Ovis aries: one gene and its partner. The protein of the gene in region 2 purifies or fractionates together with the protein of the main gene of each other region. This does not show direct contact. Links are inferred from orthologs where the notes say so. Each region holds a gene or a part of one and is shown on either strand. Other genes may lie near its edges.

Region 1 (7,477 bases), on a different chromosome or scaffold from region 2:
TCTAGAAAAACCATGTTTTAAGACAAATGACTGGAAAAACAGGAAATGTTTGGCCTGGAGTACTCAACATTAGGACTACTATGGCAGCCTTCAAAGAGCTGAAGAGCTGTCTTTGTAGCCCTAGAAAGAGTTCCTTAAGGAAAAAAAAAAAACCAAACCTCCAGAGGGTCAGATTTCATTTCAATGTTAGGAAGTTTCTCCACACACCCTCCCAAAACAACAAATAACAATTTGACCTCATGCTGTGTCTGCAAAGCTTGTTTGGTATTTGGCGAGGTGGAGCGGCAAGACACTGGGCCGCAGGACTGACTTCTAAGGGCTCTTGCAAGGCAGCCTATGACCAAGTTCTAAGGCCATGACAATAGGCAAAAGAGGTCCAAGAATGCTGCCCAATGCCCAGCACAGCAACACTAACAGTATCTGGACAGTACGTGTATGCTGAGCGAAGGAACAAGTAAAACGAGAAGTGAAAAGCCACAGGCTCTGGCAAACAGCTGCACTGGATGGAGTCAGGGCCAATTTGGAGCTGACCCTTACTGAGTATGTTAAACTTAAAGCCAGCTGATGGTAAAAAAATTAAAAGTTCTCTCTTTTAAAATGTTTACTGGCCAAAATAATCTCAGTAGATTACTGAGCTAAGATAAAAAGATCTGAAAATGCTGTGCTTCAAAATTATTATTTAAAGCAAACTGTCAATAAGTAAAAATAAATAAACGCTGTATTTAAGGGCAGTCTGTTCCTTTTTGATCACATTCCTTTCATGAATTTGCCTTTAAGGTGTTTTTAAAGTTGATATTAAATGATTCTATTTAGGTTATAGGCATATCATTAGTAAAGGACCTAAAATTTTGAAATTAGATTTTGAAATCGATTAGCTCTGTGTCAGAAACTACATTTTAAATAAGTTCTCTAGATGATTTTTTAACCACACCACACATTTTGAAAATCACTGCCTAGAATAAAAGTGTCAACTCAAGGAGGGCCTTGATCTTGAGGGTTTCTTGTTTAGAACACCCAGATTTCTACATAGCAGGCATTTCCCGATCAGTTCTTAGCTCAAATTTCACCTCCTCAGAGATGTCCTCCCAGTATCTCACCCCAACCACCAATTTATTTTCAGAGCAAATTTCCCCTTTAATTATTTTTTTTTCTTTTTTTAAAACTACAATCTTCTCCAGTCCAAAAGGAATACCACCATCCCAAGCACTTAAATGTCTGTCTTGATCTTCACTCTTATTCCTGATCCATGGATCCAGTCCCTGGTACAGAGATGTGCAATCAATATTTGATTTAGAAAACAATATCCCATATTAGAGTAGGGATTTCAATCCACCAGTGAATGCCTTTAAGTTCTTCACATAACTAACACCCAGGAAATATAATCCTTCAAGTTAAGTTCCACAAAAGTAGTTAAGTGCTTACAGTGTGAGAGAAAGGGAGAGAAAACTGTACAGGCATCACCCAGCGACGTGCTAGAAAAGCAGAATTCCAGGCATCACTTTTGACCTATGAATCAGAATCTGTATTTTCATAAGATCCTCAATGTGATTCACACCACATTCAAGATTGGAAAGCACTAAATTACAGAACAGCTGCAACCCTGGGGGCAAATTTTTTAAAAAGGTGTGACCAAGGTATTTTTACCACTAGTTCTATAAATAGTAATGTGGATGAAAAAGTCCAATAAATATTCTAATCACGTAAGCCTTGAAATGCAGCTAAAGAAAACTTTCATCTGGGAGGTCTCTCCTTGGGAAGGTGAAGGACATAGGATCAGTTACCTCATATGGCTGAAAGCAATCTTCCATCATTTTGAAACATAAGAAATTACAGCATTATCTTTAAAAGAAAAGAATGTTTTACTTTTACATCAAGCAAGATGGGGAACACTTACGTGAGGCCATAGGGTCTAGTCAAAAGTAGAGAATTCCAGAAAAACTCCCCAAATCTGGTTCTCCACCGGAATATCAAGAACTGTCCCTTTAATAACACACCGTCCCAGAAGCTCCCTGGTGGTCCAGGGGCTAACCCTCCCTGGGCTCCATCACTGGGCAGGGAACTAGATGCCTGCCACAACTAAGAGCCAGTGCAGCCAAATAAATAAATATTTAAATATATATATATTTACTTTCCCTGGTGTTTACTCACTTTTAAAACGGAGTTCTAATAAGACCTAGCTTTTAGAGATGCTGGGATGATTAAACGACATAAAGTACAAAGGCTTTTATTACAGTACCTTACATACAGGAGGCAATGCTCATCACTTTCCTAAATTTCCTAGAAGTTGTGGAAATCTCCCTCTCCTCGCCTCCACACTCTAACAAAAGAGGTGCCCAGTAACCAAATAAATGCAAAACGACAAAAAAGAACAGTGCTGCTCCTTTGTCTGCAGAGATACCAATTACTGTGGCGCCACCTTTAAAAATGCCTATTTTAAAATACCAGGAAGAGAAAATATTAAATGTGTATAGTGCAAAAGAAACAGGGCTACACTAGGGAATACATAAAAAGTTTGAGAAATCTACCTCCATCTGGGAAGAAGTAGTTTTCAATCACAAAAAAGGGACCAGTCCCTTAATGGGGAAGGGTTTCTCTTTTCCCGGGACCTCAATAATACACCTGTTGTGCGTGAGGGCCACACACTAACCTGAAAGGCTGCCTCCTCCCCGTCCCGGGTCATTTGCCAGGCGGGCACGTCGCCCGGCCAGCTCCAGGATGCCGCTCCTCTCCCCCGACTCTGTCGCTTCACTTGGGATACGAGACGAGGGGCTCGGGGCTGCTCTCCCAACTGCAAGGGGCATCTTGACCCCTCCTCCCACCTGCCCTGCACAATTCCTCCAACATAGGCAACGTGTCGGCGGCGCGCGGGGCCGGCGATCTGGCTAGGAGCACGTGCCGGTGTCCAGGAGCACACCGGGCAGTACGAGTCCCAGCTGGGTGAGCAGGGACGGCCCGAGGCAGGTCCGCCCACCTGGCGGCGGCCTTTTAGGTCAAGGGTGAGAATCCCAAGCATGAGTGGCTTCCCTGGAAATACAGCTTCATTAGAAATTAAATCCCCGCCCCGGCAGCTTAAATCGACGCGGGCTCATAACAACTCCCACCAAGGGGGTTGAAAGCCGTCCGGCCCACCCCAGGGCTCCAGGAATACTGCACGGATTAAACCCGGCCACCCCTTCTCCGCCTGGAATACCCAGAGGGGTGAGAGGAGGGCAGATAACAACGGATTCCTCCCAGAGTCCGAGCCGCCTCGCCCGGGCCAGCAAGCGGCCCCCCTAGTTTCAGCCCTCAAGCTCAGGCTCTCTCCTCAGGGACACCGCCCCCGTCCCCAGAAAAAAAGAAAGAAAAGAAAAGCTGCAGCCTGGAGAGCCGGTCGCAGGATTCTGGCTGGTCACCAATCTCCCGCCGGCCCCCAAGAAAGCGAAAAGTTGCCCACGCCGCCTAGACACTGGTGGTGGCTTGAATAGTTCCAGCGGAAGGAACAGATGGGCGGCTCCAAGCAGCCCCTCGACCCAGGAGGCAGGCTCCGAGCTGGCCGGGCGCGGCTCTCTTCGCCGCCCCGCGCCTCTCCGGCTGCCGCGAGTCCAAAGCCTGGAGCGAAACCGCCACCGAAACCACCGCGGGGCGTCCTCTCCCCGCGCCTCCCCTTCTAGACGGGGCACGGAGGGGCCTTGGGGCCCCCGGCGCCGCGCCCAGCTCTCACCTTCTCTCAGCGAACCAAACACGGCGGCAGCCCGGGCGTGCGCTCACCTGGAGGGCGCACCTGCCGCCTGGCAGAGAGGCTGCGCGCAGCCGGGACTCCGCCGGACACTGAGCCCTCCGCCTCCTCTCTCCCCTCCTCCCCCCGCCCACCCGGCCCGCCTGCCCCCCGGGCATGCGCACCAACCCCGGCCCGGGGGCGGAAAGTCCGCGGCCCGGCGCCCGCCAGCCCCACCTGCGGCTCCCCGCGCGGGCTCCTCGGCGTCCCGGCCACCTCTCCCCGGAGTCCCGCCGCCTCCGTCTGAAGAAGCAGAAAGGGGGAGGTGGACGCTACGGAGGAGGAGTGGTATGGCGGCCTCCACCCTCCGTGACCCATTCACCTGAAACTCCGATGGGAGGGGGAAGGGAGCGGTGCAAAAGGAGGCGGGAAGAACCGGCCCTTCTCCGCACACCCTGCGGCGTCCGGCCTTAAAGGAACAGCGCGGCGTTTCGGTCCGAGTGGGCGGGGAAGGAGAGCAGAGGGGTGGCGGGGGCTAGGGGCTCGGGCTCCCGGCTGGGGGAGAGTGGTCCCGGACCACCCTAGAAAGCTCTCGGAGCTCTTCGGGCACAACTGCGGAATGTTTGGCGAGTGAAATCTGGAGAGACTGTGCCTCCTGAAGTGTTCTAGGGTGCTCAGCACTTCGGCAAGAAAGACACGATCGGACACAAAAGTTTCCTGCTTCGAAAATTTTATTAAACTTTTGTTGGAAAGAAGCAGCTAGACGTGGGAGATTTTCACATGTCATGCGTAAATTTAGGAACTGCTTCTAAATCTCTGGATCGCTAAAAAGACTGTCACTCAAGAGTGGTTCAGTGAGGTTGGAAGTATTGTAGATACTGGTGATGGTAAGTTTGCCATCAAAATTAAGGGTATACTACGATTTACATTATTACCATTTCAGGGCCCTCTACTCCTCCTCCCCACGTTTAACTATGACAGGACCGAGAGTCTGCTATTCAGGGGTTTTAAACGATTTGAATATTTTCTTTGGTTTAAGGGTTAAAAAAAAAAAAAAAAGCTCTAGTTCTGTGTCTCTGTTCCATTTCTTCTGGGGGCTGTTCCCAAAGGAGTGTTAAGTTTAGGAAAATTCAGAGTCTGCACTTAACGATGTGTTCACTTATCTATACGTTGCATTAATGTGCTGCTGAATAGGGCAGTTTCAGTTCTTGCTATTTGAGTTCGTATCTGTTCAGTTCAGTTGAATCGCTCAGTCCTGTCTGACTCTTTGCGACCCCAAGAATCACAGCACTCCAGGCCTCCCTGTCCATCACCAACTCCCGGAGTTCACTCATACTCATGTCCATCGAGTCGGTGATGCCATCCAGCCATCTTATCCTATGTCGTCCCCTTCTCCTCCTGCCCCCAATCCCTCCCAGCATCAGAGTCTTTTCAAATGAGTCAACGCTTCGCAGGAGGTGGGCCAAAGTATTGGAGTTTCAACTTCAGCATCAATCCTTCCAATGAACACCCAGGACTGATCTCCTTTAGGACGGACTGGTTGGATCTCCTTGCAGTCCAAGGGACTCTCAAGAGTCTTCTCCAACACCACAGTTCAAAAGCATCAACTCTTCGGCGCTCAGCTTCTTCACAGTCCAACTCTCACATCCATACGTGACTACTGGAAAAACTATAGCCTTGACTAGACCGACCTTTGTTGGCAAAGGTTGGCAAATATCTCTGCTTTTCAATATACTATCTAGGCTGGTCATAACTTTCCTTCCAAGGAGTAAGCGTCTTTTAATTTCACGGATGCAGTCACCATCTGCAGTGATTTTGGAGCCCCCCAAAATAAAGTCTGACACTGTTTCCACTGTTTCCCCATCTGTTTCCCATGAAGTGATGGGACCAGATGCCATGATCTTCATTTTCTGAATGTTGAGCTCTAAGCCAACTTTTCCACTCTCCTCTTTCACTTTCATTAAGAGGCCTTTTAGTTCCTCTTCACTTTCTGCCATAAGGCTGGTGTCATCTGCATATCTGAGGTTGTTGATATTTCTCCCGGCAATCTTGATTCCAGCTTGTGCTTCTTCCAGCCCAGCGTTTCTCATGATGTCCTCTGCATATAAGTTAAATAAGCAGGGTGACAATATACAGCCTTGATGTACTCCTTTCCCTATTTGGAACCAGTCTGTTGTTCCACGTCCAGTTCTAACTGTTGCTTTCTGACCTGCATATAGGTTTCTCAGGAGGCAGGTCAGGTGGTCTGGTATTCCCATCTCTTGAAGAATTTTCCACAATTTATTGTGATCCACACAGCCAAAGTCTTTGGCATAGTCAATAAAGCAGAACTAGACCATTCAGGTATGACCTAAATCAAACCCCTTATTATTATACAGTGGAAGTGAGAAATAGATTTAAGGGACTAGATCTGATAGATAGAGTGCCTGATGAACTATGGACAGAAGTTCCTGACATTATACAGGAGATAAGGATCAAGACCATCCCCATGGAAAAGAAATGCAGAAAAGCAAAATGGCTGTCTGGGGAGGCCTTACAAATAGCTGTGAAAAGAAGAGAAGCAAAAAGCAAAGGAGAAAAGGAAAGATATAAGCATCTGAATGCAGGGTTCCAAAGAATAGCAAGGAGAGATAAGAAAGCCTTCCTCAGCAATCAATGCAAAGAAATAGAGGAAAACAACAGAATGGGAAAGAATAGAGATCTCTTCAAGAAAATTAGAGATACCAAGGGAACATTTCATGCAAAGGTGGGCTCAATAAAGGACAGAACTGGTATGGCCCTAACAGAAGCAGAAGATATTAAGAAGAGGTGGTGAGAATACACAGAACTGTACAAAAAGAGCTTCATGACCAAGATAATCACAATGGTGTGATCACTCACCTAGAGCCAGACATCCTGGAATGTGAAGTTAAGTGGGCCTTAGGAACCATCACTACGAACAAAGCTCGTGGAGGTGATGGATTTCCAGTTGAGCTATTTCAAATCCTGAAAGATGATGCTGTGAAAGTGCTGCACTCAATATGCCAGCAAATTGGGAAGACTCAGCAGTGGTCACAGGACTGGAAAAGGTCAGTTTTCATTCCAATTCCAAAGAAAGGCAATGCCAAAGAATGCTCAAACTACCACACAATTGTACTCATCTCACACACTAGTAAAGTAATGCTCAAAATTCTCCAAGCCAGGGTTCAGCAATACATGAACCGTGAACTTCCAGATGTTCAAGCTGGTTTTAGAAAATGCAGAGGAACCAGAGATCAAATTGCCAACATCCTCTGGATCATCAGAAAAGCAAGAGAGTTCCAAAAAAAAAACATCTATTTCTGCTTTATTGACTATGCCAAAACCTTTGAGTTCATATAGAAGGCTGGAATTTAGGTTTAAGTCCTGCTTCACTTTGTGTTCCAACCTGGAATGTCAGCATTGCTAATAAATTTCAGTCCAGTTCCACCCACTTCCCTGCCTCTAATTAAATGGTTAGAGCTGTGACTCTCCCATAAGTTAAATCTTAAGGCACAGTTCAACACTTAAGGAAGTAAAAGGGTTATATAAATATAAGGTATTAAAAGATGACAGCCTTAATGAGTAATTAATCTAATTGGTGTTTTTTGTGGAAGTCATTGTTACAATTACTACTGTATGACAAGGTAGTTTTTGAATGATGCAGTTTAAATTAGTATTGTTAACACTGGGAAAGTCAGGTTAATCCTCTTAAGGTTCCCTGTCAGATTACTGAAATCTCCAAACATTCCACTTGGTTTATAATTAAACAAGGGAACATTTCCT
Region 2 (6,860 bases):
AAAAATGTTCCAGCTATTTTAAGGCAGAGACGTAGAAGTGCGGAGGTCAGGCTGAGTAATAAGGGGGACAAGGCTCTCACAAGACAGAGGACTAGCTTCCGGTCCACTGGACACAGGCAATGATGGGGAGACCACCTGGGAATTCTGGCTGGAGAAAATGCTACCAGTTTCTAAATTCAAAGACTCTCATTTGATTCAAAGAGGGTATATAATAACTAAGTGATCTGAACCCCTTTTGTTAAGTTCCTGGTTGTAGAATAAACCCAATTAAAGTAACCATTAATTAGTCCTTAAGACAGAACTTTGTAGGTCTTCACACTTGTTCTTCCCAAATTTAAAAAGACTTAAGCTTGGTTATGGGTGGTATCTATAACCACCAACTTCTTTAGGCAAAGTGCTATCTATAAGCACAACCAAAAAAAGATCTCTTCTGAAAAGACTTAACAAACTGAGTGGAGAATCAGAAGTGAATATTTTCTAAATTGCTCAAATTTTACTATCATTTGTCTGCATCTTCTGAGTTTCAGGACACACGTCTTCATTCAGCTTCACCAGCAAGCAAATGAAAAGTAATGTATACAACACAAATACAAAGGCAACACCCTGCTTATGTAAACCAGCCCCTGGAGCTCATGGCACCACAGGGGCAGTCAGAGCACTACAGCAGCAGCAGGGAGCCCACCCGTCTCCAGGAATTCTAATGAACCCAGCACACACACACACACACACACACACACACACAGAGCTATGTACTGGAGTGTTTACACCCAGCAAACAAACTGCACAGATTTATGCACCCTCTGTATTAGTAAAATATAAGTTTGAAACAAACTATAAAAACAAAGGCTAATCAAACCACAGACTTTTATAGAATAGATAATAAAATGAAAACATGAGTTACCCACTAAGAAGGAAAATGGAATATACACTTTTCTAAACAGTATGAAACCTCATAAAAGTATGAAGGGTGGGGAGGGTGGAGGAAAATACAACAAGGTAAAAATTGAGGGTGATGACGAATATGTCAAAACTAATTTTCTAATTTTTTCCAAATACAAAATGGTGTATTTCTAATTAGAAAAAAATGTTTTTAAAGTTTTTACATGTAAATTAAAGCAGGCCTAAGGGGTCGTATCTAAGTCTGTGGATTTAAACTACCATGGTGGTTAAAATAAGGAAACTGGAAGAATCTGCAAGCAAACCCTGTAAGGCATTTAGAGCACTGCTTCCTCAGCATCTGAACGTGGCATCTACACGTAACCCCAGAACACTGTAAATGTCTGCAGTGACCAACAGCATAACCATGCTGCTGTTACCTTCTGACACTGATATCTGAGTTCTCTATTTGCTTAATGGCTGAAAAAGCTGGGCTGGAGCCAGAAAGAGCTGGGTTCAGAGCCGAGTGAGTGACTTAACCGGTAGTCCTTGTGACGCCCCAACTGGGGAGGTGGGCGGTGCACCCAGCTTGCCTCGCTCAGGGTGAACATTCAACAACTGCCCTGGGATACTGTCAGGATTAAATGTGACTGTGGGCTGGGGGACAGGGACCTGGCAGAGTAAGGACACCATCCCTCAGGTTTCCCTCCAATTAAACACGTGGGGTCAGCGGCAAATTTTCACTTACAAAAGTGTTACTTCTATTAGGTGAATGGGTCAGATCTACCTTTAGAGGAGTAACTAGTAAAGAAGCACCCTCAACCCCACTGAAAGTCTGCATCGAGATCACTTACTTGCGATCTGGTAAATATCTGGCTCCTCTCTTGCCAGCTTCTCCCTGGCAACATCAGCTATTGGTCCAAAGATGGTTACAGGCCTCAGGAATCCAGCTGAGAAGATTCAGATAAAAAGAAGCACAGTTTATGCTTTATCTGTCTTAGGCAAACCGACATTAATATAGGCTGGTTGGCAGGAAACAGACTACCTTCTCGAAGAACCACCCTCTCATACGCCGGGAACTTGGTCTGGACTGGCTGGGCCGAAAGGTCTTCTCGGCTCTTGCGCAGGTTTCTCTTGGAGCTGCGCAGGCCACGGAACCTCCAGAAGTCGGCGCGGTCTCCCCCTGCTGTCTTAGGAAGTGTATACTGCACACTGGCTAACTGCTCAGCTCTACACAGGAGAATACAGAACAAAATGCACCAAGACTTGTGGTAGAACACAATGTCAAAACCCTGGACAGAACTTCACATGGACTGTAAACCTTAATGCTTACATTAAAGGAGTTTATAAAGCTAGGTCAGTCTTAGACATGGTGAGTACAGTGAAGACTCCCCGTGGGGCTGAAACCTTTTCCTCATTCCCTAACCTGCTCTGTGAGACACAGCGGAGCGCTCATACCTGTTCTTGTTTGGAATGATGCCACGTTCCACTTCCTTATGGTTTTTGCCAATCCGAATGGCGAGCCAGGAGCCCAGCTTCCCATTGTACAGAGTGTCCACAACACGGAACACCTCTCCTTTGTTAAAACTGAGTCCATAGGGAGATTCCTTCTCATATTCAAAATGGGTTCTAATATAGAAAGAATCACCCACATCGGATTCTACAATGCGACGATAAACTAAATGGAAATGAAATATAATCAATAATGAGTGGAGAAAGAAATTAATATGAATAGAATACATTAGGTGAAGATTCTATTGATAACGTTAGCAATGACAAAAACAACTGTATCCAACTAACAGCAGCTCCTTCCTAAATATTCTGTCTCTTGGGCATCACCGTGAGCTCATGGCACGGGTGACTCTCGGCAACCCCCTCCTGGATGAGGAAACTGCTGCAGACACCCAGCAGGCAACTTGTCCAGAGCCACACGTGCTTCCTGCTTCAGTCACCTAACAGTCCCGCCTCAGCCCTGCACAGACGCTCCTGCTAACTATGGCTCTCAAATGAGGGCAACCCGGTCCCCGTCAGGTGAGAGGGCTGGCACGCATGGAGACATTTCTGATAGCAGCAACCATGTGCTGGAAGAAGGTGTGTGTACAGACACCTAGTGAGCAGAGGGAGGACACCTCAAACAGCCTCAAGTGTTGATACACGGGACGGCCTTCACCACATTACTTGGTTCAAAACATCAACAGTGCCAAGCATGAGAGACCTTGTCTATTCTAAATGAAAAGTGCATCTTCTTAATCACAGAAAATTAGTCATTCTCTTGAAACTAATGCCAACAAACATCAGAGCATAATGCTTAGAAAACATCAATACAAAACTGAGAAGCTGCCCATGTACAGTTCTTTGTGGAAGAGTATACAATTTTCCCACAGATGGCACTCTAGCTTAAGCTGAAGCCCAGGGACTCTGGCTGGCCCATTACTGTGCTGTGCTCACAAGCACAGCGTTGAGACTGTGATGCTGTTTAGTCACTCAATCGTGTCTGACTCTCTGCGACCACATGGACTGTAGACCACCAGGCTCCTCCGTCCATGGGATTCTCCAGGCGACAATACTGGAGGGGGTGGCCATTTCCTCCTCCAGGCCCAGTGATCTTCCCGACCCAGTGATCGAAGCTGCATCTCCCAAACTGCCAGAATTCTTTACTACTGACCCACCATGGAGGCCCCACAGTGTAAAGGCTGTGTGCCCCTAAATGACAAAATCCGTGGCATTAACAAAGTCATTTATCACTCAGCTTTGAGTGATTTATTAAAAACATTAACATTAAAATTCCTTTTTAAGTAGTCCAGCACCTCCAGGTTTATTTTCTCACCTTCCTGAGAGTAACTTACCATCCTTCTTCTTCTGAGCCAATATGGTCACTTCTTCTCCTTTCGGGAGGTCAAGCAGGAAGAGGACAGCTTCTTCTCTTATGATATTTGTGAAGTCTACATTGTTTACCTGTTAAAACAACGTTTCACAAATTACTATTGGCCATATTTTAAGACGATAAAAACATTTAACTGCACAGGAAACAAGTATTTCTAGAGTTTATCTACTCTAGAAATATCACATCTCCAAAAGTGAAAATATTTATTTTTGGAGAAAAGACCCTAGTTTGTAACAAGCAGAAACCAAGTAAATAAAGTGAGTTAAAGTATAAACTCATTTAAACAGTGACAATGCCACACAATGTTAGAGATTATACACTGCAAATTCCAACCAGTTCCGACCAAGAAAGCCAACATCTACTTCCAATGACTCATTATTATAAAATCTCATGATTTAAACTTTGAAATTAAAGTCCAGACTGTGTAACAGAGCCCGACTTCTTAGGACTCTGAGAAGCAATCAGAAGGAAACGCGTGTGCGCTATGCTACCTCAGTGAGAGCATGTGTACACCACGGGCTCAGAGTCTGCCAGGCCAGGGCTCACTCGTATCAGACACCCCTGAGGACCTAACGTAAATGTCATGTGACTGTGTGCAGGGTAACAGGGAGACTTCCTTCTATTCATCTTCTGGAAATTTTCCACGTTAAGAGAAAATGTTTCAATAGGCAGTACCTTAATGATACAAAACAAAAATAAATAATGAGAAAATATTTTTAAATGACACATGATTACTTCAAACAGCATATGGAGAGGGTAAGAGAATAGGTCTACTTAATTATCAATGTTGTATCTGAGAAAATAGAAACATTGTCAATACAACATCAAGTGGAAATCAGCCAGGCTGAGCCAATGAATGCCCTGACCTCCTTCCATGCGAGTATGAAGGGGAAGGGGGACCGGGGGGCCGCCACAGCCTGAGGGAGCTCACCCCACGCTCGGAGGACGGTTTCTGACTGCGAGCTGCTGCCTCAAGTGACCAAACCCAGCATGGAGACAGGGAAGCAACAGTAAAGAAGGGGTTGCTGAACATGCGCCAGGTTTTCAGATGAATGATTATAAGAAGGTGGTGGGAAAAGAACTCAAACATTTATCCAGTAGGAGGGCCAGAATGACAGCATTATGGACTCCAAAGAAGAAAGTAATTACTTAAGGTTAAAACAGGAGTAAGAAATACAGAAAAACGAGGGCTGAAGATGCCATCGGGTTGGTGGTGCCTCATGGAAACCCACCCTGAGCCGTGGCGAAGGTGGCAGGCAGGCCGCACGGCCTCATGACACAAGCAGGCAGGGAAGGGCGCCACCTTATCTGCAAGTGCAACAGCCGGAGGAGAAAGACAACAGAAGGCAGAAGAGGAACCAACAGGCAGGGAAAGAGAGTTCAGAACAGAGCAGTCAGACTCTGGGGCAGGAGGAAGGAAAAAGAGAGCAGAGCAGAGGTGAGGCGGGAACTCCCACTTAAGAGCTGGTCCTCCGACTAGAATGGGATGCAGTACATCCAGCAGGAGGTTTGGATATTTTAAAAAGAGAGGAGATGAATAAAGATGGTACTATGTTACTAGGTAACATTGCTTATGGAAAAGAAACAAAAACACAAAGAGCCCACTGGCACACTGCATCTAAGCTGGGCTTTCCTAGACTCTCATCCTTGTGGATGTGAAACTTCAGAACAAGAGCGGCTTACACATGTACCCAGTGGACACCTGTCTTGGCACACCTGAGCCATCACTGGGTAAAGGGGGGCCACAGGCTGCATACCTGTGCTGCCCTGCTGGCAGGCTGGGGCCCACAGCAGAGTCCAGCCAGCAGGAATGCTCAGCTGAACTGCAGATAACTGGGAGACACTGTGAGCTCCAAGACTTGGTTTTTCCACATTCTACAGATATGAGTGATTAAAATGAAACCAAAGCCACATACTGTGCAGACACACCTAACATAGACGTGAGCAGAGGCAGGAAGGGGAGACCTGATGGAGCCCCACGTTCTTTCACACAGATTACAAGCTCATCATAACAGATCTGCTATGTCTGAGGCCTTGCTCTGGAGACCTAAGTATCTGAAGCCATGTGAGTTGATCATGGACATACCCTGAGGATCTGGTCGCCCTCCTCCAAGCCTTCTTTGGCAGCAGGGCTGTCTTCGAGAACACCAGCTACAAATATGCCAACATCGTTTCCACCAGCTAGCCGAAGACCCACACTATCTCCTTTCCTGAATTTTACTAACTTCATGCTGGGCCTGTTAAAACAAGTATTTCATTTGAATGAGTTAAGCTTAAACAGTTACAGCAAACTGCTATAATGAAAACCATATTTAGAATAAAACAAAGGACCATCATATCTGAAATTTCCCCCACACCACTAATTTACTTAATAAAATTTAGCATTAGAACTCAAAATCAGATTTAATAGCACTTTAATTCTAATTAACAAAAATAAGTTCTGAAATATCCAAATGTAATATGTTAGTACTGTTTTACATAATAACTGTAAAATTACTCCATGAAAACATGTTTTCCCAACTCTTGACTCTTTGATACATATATATTAACAATGGCTAAAAACTGTTCCATTTTTCCCATCCCAGTTCATATCATATCATCTCTACCGAATAACTGAGAAGTCCTACTGTACAAAGGTAGAAACTGAAGTGTATACTGACAAATTTCCCTAATACCAGGAGTCAAAATCAAGCTCTAGGCACTGCGCCTGACAGACAGTGCTTTTCAAGCTCCACAGCCAGGGGCTCTTGCAGTAGCTCACACAGATTACTTGCTCTGAGGCCCCTTTGAACTTTAAACCAAAATGCTCACCACCCACCCTTTCTGGATGAGCCCATGTTAATCTCTTCATGCTGGAAAGAATGGAGCAGAACTAATGAAGACACATTAATTCCTCTACTATCAGTGCAGGGTCAAAACTCCTGACACTCCTGAAACAAATACTAAGAATGCCACAGAAGAATGGCTACTAGTAACTACAGATTACCCTTTTGGGTAATTAATAACAAATTACGTACATAGTTACCAATTACCCTTCTAGGTTTCCATAGCCATCCCACATTCGGAGACAAGAAGACACAAGTCTTTTACACCTATCTGG

The links. The genes of interacting proteins can lie anywhere in the genome.
Region 1: the proteins of TJP1 (region 2) and OCLN purify together in Homo sapiens (affinity purification with western blotting; 4 studies listed by BioGRID and IntAct, with this or other methods). This does not show direct contact. The link is inferred for Ovis aries from reciprocal best matches to the Homo sapiens genes TJP1 and OCLN.

The regions. Positions count from the first base shown.
Region 1 is NC_056069.1:10,386,754-10,394,230, forward strand, and holds the start of OCLN (occludin), read right to left. Parts: upstream 4,087-7,477; 5' UTR 3,932-4,086; intron 3,810-3,931; exon of another isoform or gene 3,701-3,809; intron 2,875-3,700; exon of another isoform or gene 2,648-2,874; intron 1-2,647. UniProt on the Homo sapiens protein: May play a role in the formation and regulation of the tight junction (TJ) paracellular permeability barrier.
Region 2 is NC_056071.1:26,250,363-26,257,222, forward strand, and holds part of TJP1 (tight junction protein ZO-1), read right to left. Parts: intron 5,998-6,860; coding exon 5,847-5,997; intron 3,832-5,846; coding exon 3,723-3,831; intron 2,555-3,722; coding exon 2,335-2,554; intron 2,107-2,334; coding exon 1,922-2,106; intron 1,827-1,921; coding exon 1,731-1,826; intron 1-1,730. UniProt on the Homo sapiens protein: TJP1, TJP2, and TJP3 are closely related scaffolding proteins that link tight junction (TJ) transmembrane proteins such as claudins, junctional adhesion molecules, and occludin to the actin cytoskeleton.